3 linked regions of the Diceros bicornis minor genome follow. The protein of the gene in region 3 interacts with the protein of the main gene of each other region in a pairwise test. Links are inferred from orthologs where the notes say so. Each region holds a gene or a part of one and is shown on either strand. Other genes may lie near its edges.

Evidence for each region.
Region 1: the proteins of MID2 (region 3) and CCDC42 interact in binary tests that used the Homo sapiens proteins (3 or more experiments, as listed by UniProt). The two-hybrid records come from large-scale screens. The link is inferred for Diceros bicornis minor from reciprocal best matches to the Homo sapiens genes MID2 and CCDC42.
Region 2: the proteins of MID2 (region 3) and ZNF24 interact in binary tests that used the Homo sapiens proteins (3 or more experiments, as listed by UniProt). The two-hybrid records come from large-scale screens. The link is inferred for Diceros bicornis minor from reciprocal best matches to the Homo sapiens genes MID2 and ZNF24.

What each region holds. Positions count from the first base shown.
Region 1 is NC_080757.1:9,742,531-9,746,276, forward strand, and holds the start of CCDC42 (coiled-coil domain-containing protein 42), read left to right. Parts: upstream 1-1,146; coding exon 1,147-1,229; intron 1,230-1,597; coding exon 1,598-1,703; intron 1,704-2,011; coding exon 2,012-2,116; intron 2,117-3,693; coding exon 3,694-3,746. UniProt on the Homo sapiens protein: Essential for male fertility. Required for sperm development.
Region 2 is NC_080755.1:29,479,497-29,483,242, reverse strand, and holds the start of ZNF24 (zinc finger protein 24), read left to right. Parts: upstream 1-1,316; 5' UTR 1,317-1,396; intron 1,397-1,617; exon of another isoform or gene 1,618-2,027; intron 2,028-3,228; 5' UTR 3,229-3,310; coding exon 3,311-3,730; intron 3,731-3,746. UniProt on the Homo sapiens protein: Transcription factor required for myelination of differentiated oligodendrocytes. Required for the conversion of oligodendrocytes from the premyelinating to the myelinating state.
Region 3 is NC_080781.1:100,494,178-100,497,923, forward strand, and holds the start of MID2 (probable E3 ubiquitin-protein ligase MID2), read left to right. Parts: upstream 1-928; 5' UTR 929-1,390; coding exon 1,391-1,394; intron 1,395-3,746. UniProt on the Homo sapiens protein: E3 ubiquitin ligase that plays a role in microtubule stabilization. Mediates the 'Lys-48'-linked polyubiquitination of LRRK2 to drive its localization to microtubules and its proteasomal degradation in neurons.

The DNA of each region.
Region 1 (3,746 bases), on a different chromosome or scaffold from region 3:
AGCTCGGGACGCCGCCCCGGCGAGGGACCCCCAGTGGCTCCCCCTCCCACACCGAGGGGACGGAGGTCGCGCGCCGCCGTGGGCCGGGGAAAGGAGAGAACAGAGGGAGCCCGGAGCCGTGCCCGGCCGCAGCGAGCTCGAGGTCACGGCCGTTACCTCCGGCCAGGACCCCAGGGCGCCCGCCTCATACACAGGGTCTCAAATTTACACGCTGGACCTCAGACCAAATGAGCTTATGCACAGTGCTCTGACAGGATCACAGAAGGCAGCCATCATACAGTAAACATGTAAAATATGTGACATTTATGGTACCATGTTTTGGCTTTTCTCCATATTTTAATATTCCGAAAATCTCAAAAAATGGCACTGGCCCTGAGTCTGTTACCCTCAATGGGGCCTCACCCTGTGCCCCCCTCCATATCCCCAGGGGGGCCTCCTTAGTGGCCAGGCTTCTTGCCTATCCTCACACACGCACACCAGTACACATCCGTCACCCACCACTTAGTTCTCAGCTTCAGGCTTCTTCCCATCCTCCCTGTCGGTGACCCGCTCCCCCCACCCCCCCAGCACTTCCCTTCCTTGGCTCCTTTTCTTCTCAGTGGTCTGTCCCAGCCCCAGCCCCCTCTCTCACCCTGATACACATAGCTGAACCCAGGAGGGAGGCCCCAGGGGCAGGACTCCCTCACAAGGCCACGCCTCTAACAAAAACCCCTTCTCAGCCCTGGACACCCAGACCCTGCCTCCTGGCCCTGGACAATAGCATCGAATCCAGCCTAACTTCTTCCCAGAGTTCCTGAGGGGTAAATGCAAGAGCAGAGAGTGGGAACCCAGCCAAAGTGGGGTCAGTGTGGACAGGGGCCAGAGGACAAAGCCTGGGTTCTATGTGTGGTCCACAGAACCAGACAACCTGTTGCTAGGTAACTAGATCTCCCATCACCTCCTGAACACATCCTCCTGAGCTGCCGCTCGTCAGCCTCCAGCCGTCTTCGCCTGAGTCTCTCAGACACCCACCCTTCTGTGGGACCTTGAAGAGCAGGAGGAAGGGAAAAGCAGGAGCTCAGCCACCACTGCAGACCCACCTGCGGCTCCACCACCCACTGTTTTCTGTGAAGATTCGGCTGCCTGGGCCAGCGGGTCACCACCACCATGAGTCTGGGTATCATGGAGGAGGAGGATCTGGCCGAGTACTTCCGGCTGCAGTATGGGGAGCGGCTGCTACAACTGCTGCAGTGAGTGTCTGAGGGTCTGGGGACCCCCCCACCCCAATGCCTGGGACCTCCCACGCCCACCCCATGCCCCACCTTCCAACCTGTCCCCTCCTACTCCTATAACCCAGAGCCCCAATCACCCTGCCCCATGGCCCTGGCACCAATCCACCCCCATCACCCAGATCCCCACCCCTTATCACCCTGCCCCAGCTTGTTCCCTGGATGCCAACACAGCCCTCTCTCCCTCTCAACATACCATTCTTTTCCTCCGATGGGGGACAGGACCCCCTTCCTTCCCCATGGGTATCTGTCTCCACGGGTTATTCCCACTCTCAGCCTGCCCCAGATGCTCAGAACCTACAGGCCCCTCTTGCCCGTGTCTTGGGCAGGAAGTTCCCCACCAGTGAGGAGCAGTGGGAGTCCCCATCCATCCAGCTGCTGGAGAAGAAAAAGGAGGCCAAGATCATGCACCAGGCTATGGAGCAGAAGAAGAAGGTGGGGGACTAGGGGATGCGGTGCAGGAAGGGCCACAGGCTCAGGGAGAGCCTGAAGACAGCCTTCCATTTTGTGGGTGCTGGTGGCTAGAGCCAGGAGTCCTGGGTGGTGGTTCTGTGTTCCCTCTGCAGAGACAGAAAAGATCCAAGCCTTGGGGGTACCAGTGTCCTAGGATGCTCTGCTTGGAATTGGGCATGGGGTAGGAAGTAGGAGGCCTGAGGATAGAAGCACTGGGCGGGGGATGCTGGGGCCTTCCTCCATATGCACGTCAGGGGCCTTTCTGACCTCTCTGCTTCCCCCACCTCAAGATATTTCAGCGCAGAATGGAAAGCTTGAACCTGTGCTGGGAGGAACTGGGCGTCAAGGAGGTCCAGCTGAAGGCCCATATCCAGAAATTTGAGCAATTCATCCAGGTAGGAGCAGGCCACAGCCTGCTGCAGCAGGCCAGGGGCACCCACACTCGTTGGTTGGGCAAATTGCCGCTCCTCCCCGCCCCCCCCCCCCACCGCCTTACTTTTGCTGACTCTTCACCGTGGGTTAGATGTCTCTTCATTGCTCAACAATGCTGGGGCTTTTCCCTTTATGTCCCCCCTTATTGCTGTTTGAATTTCCTGTTTACCTGTCAGTCTGCCCCGTCTACACTGCTGTTTACCATTTCCTTGCCTGCACCTGGTACGTACGGTTTATTCAGTGAATAAATGAATGGATGGATGGTGATGAGTGACTGAATTGCCACAGTCAAGGCTGGGCACTTGGGAATACAAATATGAATCAGACAGGGTTTTAGTCCCCCCAGCTCACCCTAGCCCTCCATCCTTGTGCTGAGGGTCCAGTCAGGGGGTGGCGGAAGGACCAGCACCAGAGTCCATTCGGAGACAGCGCCTCTCAAACGGTCCTTAGAGGAGCGATTTAGCCATTTTAAAACCCAGATTTCTCCAGACCGGCTCCAGACAGCGCTCATGGAGCCCTGAGGGCCTGGCCCAGCTCCAGCGGGGAATCGCTGGCCTCTGCCACGGGGGAGTCCTGCTCCTAAGCCTCTTCTGTCTCGCTCTGGGCCTAAACCAGGTGGGAAGGGAAGCTGAGGGACGGGGCATATTCTCCTGAGGTCCCGTCCTTGTTACTGGCCAGAGAAAAGCTCTGGGAGAGCCTGAAGACAGCCTTCAGGAGTGGAGGGGTTGGGGCGGCAGGAGATTTGGAGGTGAGGGGCTCTCCAAATGGCTACCAGAGAACCCGCGTGGTAGAATCCTGGAAAGCTGGTTCCAAATACAGACCCCCGCGGCTCTCTCTTCTCTCCTTGCTTTCAGCAGGCCTGAGGTCAAGCCGAGGCAACTGTGTTTTTAAAAAGCTCCGCAGGGGATTGTGCTGCACAGTTGGACTTGAAAACCGCTGGTTTAGTGCCCCACAGTCCTCTCCTGGGCTTGCGGGGCACAGTGCAATCCTCCCTGTGCCTTCCCCACATGCCTCCAAACGTCCTCCACACCACACACGCCCGTCCGCGTGGAATCACAGGCGCCCCTGAAGAGGGAAAGGAGCCACACAAGTGCATTGTGAGGGGTGGGTTTGCCCCTAATCTTGGCGGGGGTGGTTAGCAGAAGGGGAGTCAGCTGGATTGTAGCAGCTGAGCCTCGTGTCTTTCTGGGCATCGAATTGCCTGCACCATCTCCTCCTGCTCCAGTCTGAGCCATGGAACATGCTCTCCAGAATGGCCTTGCCCCACCAGGCCCGCTGGACCAGGTCTACCTCCTGTCTCATCTCCCTGTAGCTTGAGCACTGCTGCCCCAGGTTTTGGAAGGAAGAGGGGAGAAATTGAGGCACCAAGTACCAAATGGAGAAAATTCGGGCCTCCTTGCCCACTTGGGTGGCCCAGTGACCTCTGCCCATCCTCACGGTGGCACGAGCTCAGCAAACAGAGGCCTCGTGGGGGCACCAGCGGCCTGGGCCTCAGGGAGGGCAGGGCGCGTGCCTGACGGGTGCCACCTCCCCGGCCCAGGAGAACGACCAGAAACGGATCCGCGCCCTGAAGAAAGCCCACAAGGAGCAGGA
Region 2 (3,746 bases), on a different chromosome or scaffold from region 3:
TTGCTGGCTCATTTATTCTCTCATTCACAAATCCATCAGAGGCTAAAGGTACTTTGTAGAGGACACTTTCCTGAATGAGGCAGAAAGCTGAAGCCTGGGCATCTTGGAACGCTTCTGGAAGGCTAGACCTGCACTTCTAACATCGACCTTAAACAACAGGGCTCTTTTGTGTGGTTTCTGATGCCTGACATGTGACCTAGCAAAGACAGCAATGTGACCAGCCCACAATTCATTCATTTATTCAACAAATATTTGTTTTCTCTATGTAACAGGCAGTCAGCAGCCTGGGATGTTGTGGTGTATAAGACAGACAAGGTCCCTGCCCTTATGGGACTTAATAGACAAAAAAAAAAAAACAGAGAAAGCAATAAATGAGATCATTTTTACTAGTGCTGTGAAGAGGGGGAAGGCTTCCAGGAAGAAAGGCAATCAGTGAGGCCAAGAATCCTGGGCCACTGTGAGCCTAAGAGCTGAAGTCAGAGGGAGGAGGCAGGCAACAGACCACAGGGGGCCTTGCCGACAGATGTAAGGAGTTTTTATGTCAGTCTTAGGGCAGTGAGGATCCATTGAAGGCCTTTAAATAGGGGAATGAAGTGGTCTGATTCATGTTTTTAAATGATCACTTCAGCAGCTGTTTTGTGGTATAAAATGCCCAGCCTGAAGTCAGAACATGACTATGCATTCTGCAAATTCCATGTGAGATCATTGCCAAAGCTCTTAACCTGTCTCATCTTGTTTCCCTGGTAGATAAATTGGTCAAAAAAAAGCTCTGCAGCATAGCCAGTGGGAACCATAAATTGGAATCATGCCTTGGCTTCACATCTTGCTCTCCACTTTCATTAGTTATGAGGTCTCGGCAAGTTATTTACTTGTGCCTCAATTATCTCAGCTGTGAAGTGGGAATAATAAAAGTTCCTACATCACAGGGTTGTTGTGAAAATTAATGACAATACATGTAAATAAAGCACGGTGACAGTGCCTGGCACAACGTAGTAAGCATTTATAAATATCAGCTTTTGTTACTACTTTCAGAGGATGACTGTGAGGGGATCACATGAGATAATGCACGTGAAAGGGTTTGTGAAACCATGAAGACTATCTTAATGGCAGAATTCTCTCTTTCTTTTCCTTGCCTTTTAAGCGGAACAAAGTACACTGGACTATCCGAGGAGAGAGGCGCGAGGCCAAGCGCAGCCTCAAAGCGGTCATTGTCGTCGGGCCGCCCCTCCCCCGCCCAGAGCGCATCTCCATGGCAACGCGGGGCTTCGCCTCCGCCCGCCTCCTGGGGCCCGCAGACCGGAAGCAGTCCGCGCCGGGGGCTTCTGGGAAACGGCTTGTGAGCGGCGTTTCTGCGTCTGCCGTGGACAGCGAAGCTGCTGCGGACCCTGAGCAGGAGGTTTGCGCCAGGGTGGGGGAAGGGCGTGAGGGGGACGCTGGGCTAGGGGCTGCGGCCCGCTTGGCGGGAGCCAGCAAAGAAGCCTGGCGGGACCTTCCTCGGCTCCCTGAGAGGCGCAGACAGGCCACGGTCTCCGCTCTCAGCAGTTGCAGGGCGGAGAGGGGTAGACGGAAGACCAGATCGGACTTTCGGCATCCTCGGAGAGTCCTCCATCCCGTGTGTCCTCCCTCGTCCTCGCCTTTCCCCTCCCCCACCGGTGGTTTTGTTCTATTTCGAGGCCCTGGCCTCTCGCGGAGGGTTCTGGGACTCGTTTCGGGCGGAGGTGGGAGGGGGCGGTCCTTGCGCGGGGCTTGCCGGGACTTGTAGTTCCCCCGGCCGCGGGCGGAAGTGCTGTGGCTCCGACGCCGTTGAGGCAGGGTGCCTTTGGTCGTCTGAAATCAGCCGCCGCGAGTGCCTGGAAGAGGGGCTGGAGGTCGTCGGGGCGGGGGCGGGCCTCGCAGCTGCGCTTTGCGGGAGTGAGGTGGGGTGATCTCCTGGCACCTCCTTCACGTCCCTCGAGCAAGCTGCCGAAAGAAATATAAAGGGAAGAGGAGAAATTTCTCTTCTATGGAATACTTGAGCCGTTGATAAGGTAGGGTCGAATAGGAACGAACGAATCTGTTGGCTGAACCGTATTTATGAGGCCACCACACTCCAAAGTATTTAATTAAACCTGTATGTTTTACCTGTCCTTTTCTGATTTCTAGTCTTGATAGGGTTACCAGAAGTTTTTTTTGAAATTACTGGTCTTCAGATTCTGGGCCCGGAATAGCTACATAATGGCTCATTCCTAATATGTGTTGTAAACAATAGCACGGGCATGACTGTGCAAATACTAAGGAAAGGAAGAAATAGCACAAGGTTTCCCTTCAGGTAGAAGCTGGGAAGACTGTGAGTCATCCAGTATAAGGACGAGATTCTGGGCCGCTGCAAAAAGTTAAGGTGTTAGGAGAGTGCCTTTTTTTCATAGAATTTGCTGTGATTAATGCCTGTCATTATAAATTTAAATGTAATTATGGTATGGTGGGTGACTGAATAATATTTGTATTTTATGGCACCTAGTGGTTAATTTTTTTCAATATTGTGCTGTTATTGAGCAAGTGAATTTTTTTAGCATATATTTCAAGTCCAGGGAGTTCATAAACATTTTAAAAATATTTCTTAACTCTTAAAAAAAACATTTTGTTAAAAGGAATTTTTTGTAAGCGGATAAAAAAAGCAGTGCCTGCTTTTGAGTTGACATAAATGTCTCAGGCAACACCCGTCCTGAATTGGAAATAATGTGTCCTAGGGTCAAATGCATTTAGAAAACATTGAGTTGGGCTGGTTCTTACTTGAATTCCTTTTATTATTGAAATAGGGTTTGTTGATTTTGTAGGTCATAGATTGGCAAACTTTTTCTCTAAAGGGCCAGATAATAAATATTAGGTTTTTCAGGCCATATTATGTCTGTCACAGCTACTGAACTCTGCCATTGTAGCATAAACTGTGAACAAATAAATTATTTGTGGACACAGACATTTTAATTTCATATTTTCACATCATGAAGTATTCTTTTGATTTTTTTCAACCATATAAAAATGTGAAAACTATTGTTGTTACAAGCGTTGCACGAATATGGGCAGTGGGCCAGATTTGGCCGTGAGCTCTAGTTTGCCAACTTCTGGTGTAGGTTATTAATTGGAATTTATAATCTGGTAAAAAAACAAATATTTTTACTTCCTTTATCAGTATATGTACAAATACTTAGGATATTTGGACATTTATTTTTTTTTTATTTCTTGTGTCTCAAGAGTGCTTGTGAAGAAAACGGAGTATTTCCCTGAGGCCTGTATCCTGCCTTGATTGTCTTTCCTTGAAGTATTATAAATCAGGATGTCTGCACAGTCAGTGGAAGAAGATTCAATACTTATCATCCCAACTCCAGATGAAGAGGAAAAAATTCTGAGAGTGAAGTTGGAAGAGGATCCCGATGGGGAAGAGGGATCAAGTATCCCCTGGAACCATCTGCCTGACCCAGAAGTTTTCCGACAGCGATTCAGGCAGTTTGGATACCAGGATTCACCTGGGCCCCGTGAAGCTGTGAGCCAGCTTCGAGAACTTTGCCGTCTATGGCTCAGGCCAGAGACACACACAAAAGAACAAATCTTGGAGCTGGTGGTGCTCGAGCAGTTTGTTGCCATCCTACCCAAGGAGCTACAGACTTGGGTTCGAGAGCATCATCCAGAGAATGGAGAGGAGGCCGTGACAGTGCTGGAGGATTTAGAGAGTGAACTAGATGACCCTGGACAGCCGGTGAGCCTGCTCGTGT
Region 3 (3,746 bases):
TTTCTCACTTTGTTCTCCTTTTACCCCATGTTAGGTAGGGACTCTCCTCTGGGGCCTCCTCCTCCTTCCCTCTCCCGGCCTCCTTGTCAGTGGGGTAGTGGTTTCTGAGCCAATGACATGTCAGTCGACAGGCTGACTCCAGACCAATGAGCGCTTCTGGGTTCCAGATGGACCAATTAGCTTATTAGGGAGGTTGAATACCTGGAGAGCTGGCATCTGGTCCATTGCCCTCTTAGTAACCACCCTCTTGTTTTGCCTATCAAGGATTTGAATGTGCACTTTGTGTACTTTGTACAGGTTTTTTGTTTGTTTGTTTTTTAAAATTTTCATGGCTTTAATCCATCCCCACAACTTCTGCCCAAGGCCAATAAAACACTGCCCTTCTCCCTTTGTAAAAAGAAAGAGGGGTTGGGTTTCCTTCAATTGTCTGCCCTTTTCTGTCTCCTCCACTATTTTTGTTTTACTCTGTAGTTAACTTTGCATAGAGCAGCTTCATCAGAGGACCTGCGCGGTGGACCTAGACACTCTCTTCTCATAGCCAGTTGCAAAGGCCTTTTCGTTGCTCTAACTTGGGGGTTTGTGGGACCAGGGGGTTGGCAGGTGGGAGAGGAGTTTGGCCATAGTCTTCTTTCTGCATTTCACACACATTCTGCGCGCTCTCTCTCTCACACACACAGGCACACACACGCCCTTTCGGGCCCCTCTCGGTGTGTCTTCCTTCAAGATGACAGGGCGCTGGAGAAAAGGCTGCTGGAATCAGCTGGTAGGTACAGTAGTAACCCGAACCCCACCCACCCGCTGCCTTTGCTTGCTCAGGTTTCTCTGGTCACTCCTGCCAGGGGAGAAAACATGTAAAGGCGCCTCCAGAGGAGGGGCTGGGGGAGCTGGGAGCGGCGGAAGGTGAGCCGGGAAGGTGGCCAAGCGCCCCTGCTGCCGGGGCCCTTCTCCGTGCTCCCTGGGGGCGCCAGCCCCAGCCCTGCTTGCCCCCACCCCACTCCACCCCCCTTTTCGTAGAGATTGCCTTTTTTTTCCCCTCTGCGGCGGCGGAAATGACAGTGTGGTGCTGCCGTGGTGTCATGGTGCTGCCCCTGGACTGAGGGGCGAAAACTCTTTAAGTTTGGCTCGGGAGAGCCAGCCGCGGTAGCGCCGCGACCGCCGTGCTGTCCCCGGCGGGCCGCGCGGGCGGGCGGATCCCGGCTGCTGCGCGGCGGCGGCGGCGGCGGCGGCGGCGGCGGCGGCGGGCGGCGGCCTAGAGCGGCGGCGGCAACGGCGGCAGCGGCGGCGGCGGCCCGGGAGCTCGGGCCGGAGCCCTAGCCCGCTCGCGGCGGAGGCAGGCGAGCGCCCGGCGCCCACGGGCGCGCCCAGGAGATGGCTGGCACCCGGGAACGCAATGGGTAAAACGCGCTCCCTCGCCGCGGTCCCGGGGGCCAAGCGCCACCGCCCGCGCAGGGCTCGGCCCTGGCCCCCGGCGCCTCTCAGGTGCCGCCGGGGCCCGGCGCGGGCCGAGGGCTCCGGGGCTCGGCGGGGCAGGGTGAGGGGGCCCGCGAGGCTCGAGGTGGCGGCAGCGGCGGGGGCTCCGGCCCGGCCCTGGCTCCCGTTGCGCCGCGGGGGCCCGGGCTCTCTTCGCTGCCCTCCTGGGACGGAGTTTGCACTCCCGGCGCGGGGCGGGGGCGGCCCGGGGCCTCCAGCGCAGCCCGGCCGGCTCCCCCGGCGCCTGGGCGCGAGTCTGGGAAAGGACACCGCCGCCTTCCCACGCTCCCGCGGCCGGCAGCCTCCTCGGCCCGGGCGGCGCCCCTCGGCAGGCCGTCTGCCCGGCGGTGGCTGCTGCAGCGGCCGGAGATGCTGCGGACACCCTGCCGGCGGGCAGGCCCAGCGAAACTTAATCCCTTTTCTGCCAGGGGAGCGATCCTCACATCCCCGCCTGGGTGGTTCCTTATTTCTGGCCTAGCTGTGAAACCAGCTCAGTGGGGGAGCGGGAAAACTTACATATGTCCATAGGACAGACTGCGACTGAATCGGGAGAGGTGGGGTTTTTCCATTCCTGGCTCATAAGAATTAAGTAAATAACGGCGGAGTAGATTTACAGAAACATTTTTGGTGATGATAAGGTTTAGGCTACTTAACACTTCGTGTGCAGCACATTATTTCTTGGAGGCGCTTTTTGGAGCAGAAAATTGGGATCCTGGGGTCGTTGGGTTCTTCATTTTCTCTCTTCCACACTCCCCTACCCGCCTTCACGCTCACTCCCCTTCTTCCTACATCGTCACACACCTACTTGTCCACCCAAATATCTCACCAGAAGCCACCTATCCCCCAGGTTTCCCCGTCAACCTGTGGACTCCCTGGCATGCAGCCTCTTGCTTCTCAACCAATTTGCTTTTTTGAGGATTTCTGAGTGTGGGGCGGGTGGATAGTGATGGTGTGTGTCTCTGAGGAGGAGCCCTTATAAAGGAATATATTAGAGACTATGTAAATAGACAAGTACTGTGTATGGGTTGATTCCTTTGATTCTCAAGTTGGGCCATAAAGGCTGCCTTTAACCCCATTCTGTTGTCTCTCGGTGCTCTAATCAGTTCTCTGGCAATGTTCCAATAGAAGGGGACTGCTTAACAGGGAGAGGCCCTCCCCTACTTCTTCTCCCTCTCCTACTTCTTCTCTACCCCAGCTGGTTGCCCCTAACCCTCACATCCCCCCTTTCATCCCTCTGCATTCATCACTGCCCTGAGGGGGGAGTAGTCTTTGCTCTTTTTATATATTCCTGCCCAATCAATTAACTTAATACAGATATATAATGTGAATTAGATTTTTCCTGATTGTTCTTCACAGCTTGATTTATGTGGTTGAAATACAGGTCTAGGAGACAAGAAGATCAGAGAGTTGGTCCCAAATCTGATGTTGCATTGGCTTTATGGCCTTAGGACATTCCTATGACCTTTCTTTCATAGTTGATGCACTTGGGTAAAAGGCATAATATTGTGTACTGGCTATTGTGCATCTTGGCTTGGTCCTTTGAAGACGAAAGGGTACTATAAACTCTCAGCATTATAGTTTTCAAAGAAAGTACTTCATTTACCTTTTATTGGGATAATAGGTTGACTGGGTGTAAGTAGGAACCCTAGTTTACTGGAAACCTTCACTTGCCGTTATTAGCCCTCATGGGAGCCAAATCCATCATTGTGCTTAGGTCCTAAGTCTGTGCTTAGGTCCTAAGTCTGTTTTTTTTTTTCCCTAAAGCACGTTACAACTGAATGAAAACATACATAAAACTAGGCATACAGAGTAATGGTGATTATTTTAAGTTGAGGCTTGAATCATATATAATATGCTCCAACCTAATAATCTGAGACTCATTGGAAAACATAACCTCACCCAATTTTAGCCTATATGGGGGCAATTAGTTAATTTCTACTGAAAAGTGGCATAAATAATTTTAGGCATGGCTGTATAAGCATGATTATCATCTAGCAGCAGTGAGTCAATAATGTTCATTAAGCGCCTACAGTATGCAGAGTCCTCTGCTGACTGGGATGAGGCCTCAGCTTTGGCCCAGTATTTTGGCCTCCTGATTGTTTGAGGCCTATCTCCTTCCTTGCAGCTCCAGGATTAGGACAGGGAGGGGCTGTGTGGGGCAGGGGTAGAGGCTAGGGACATGAAGGGGCAGTTGTTTCCCTCCCTTTCATGACTACCAGACTTCTCATCTAGCATGTTGTACCTTGCATAGCCAAGTACTACCGAAAATCAGAGTG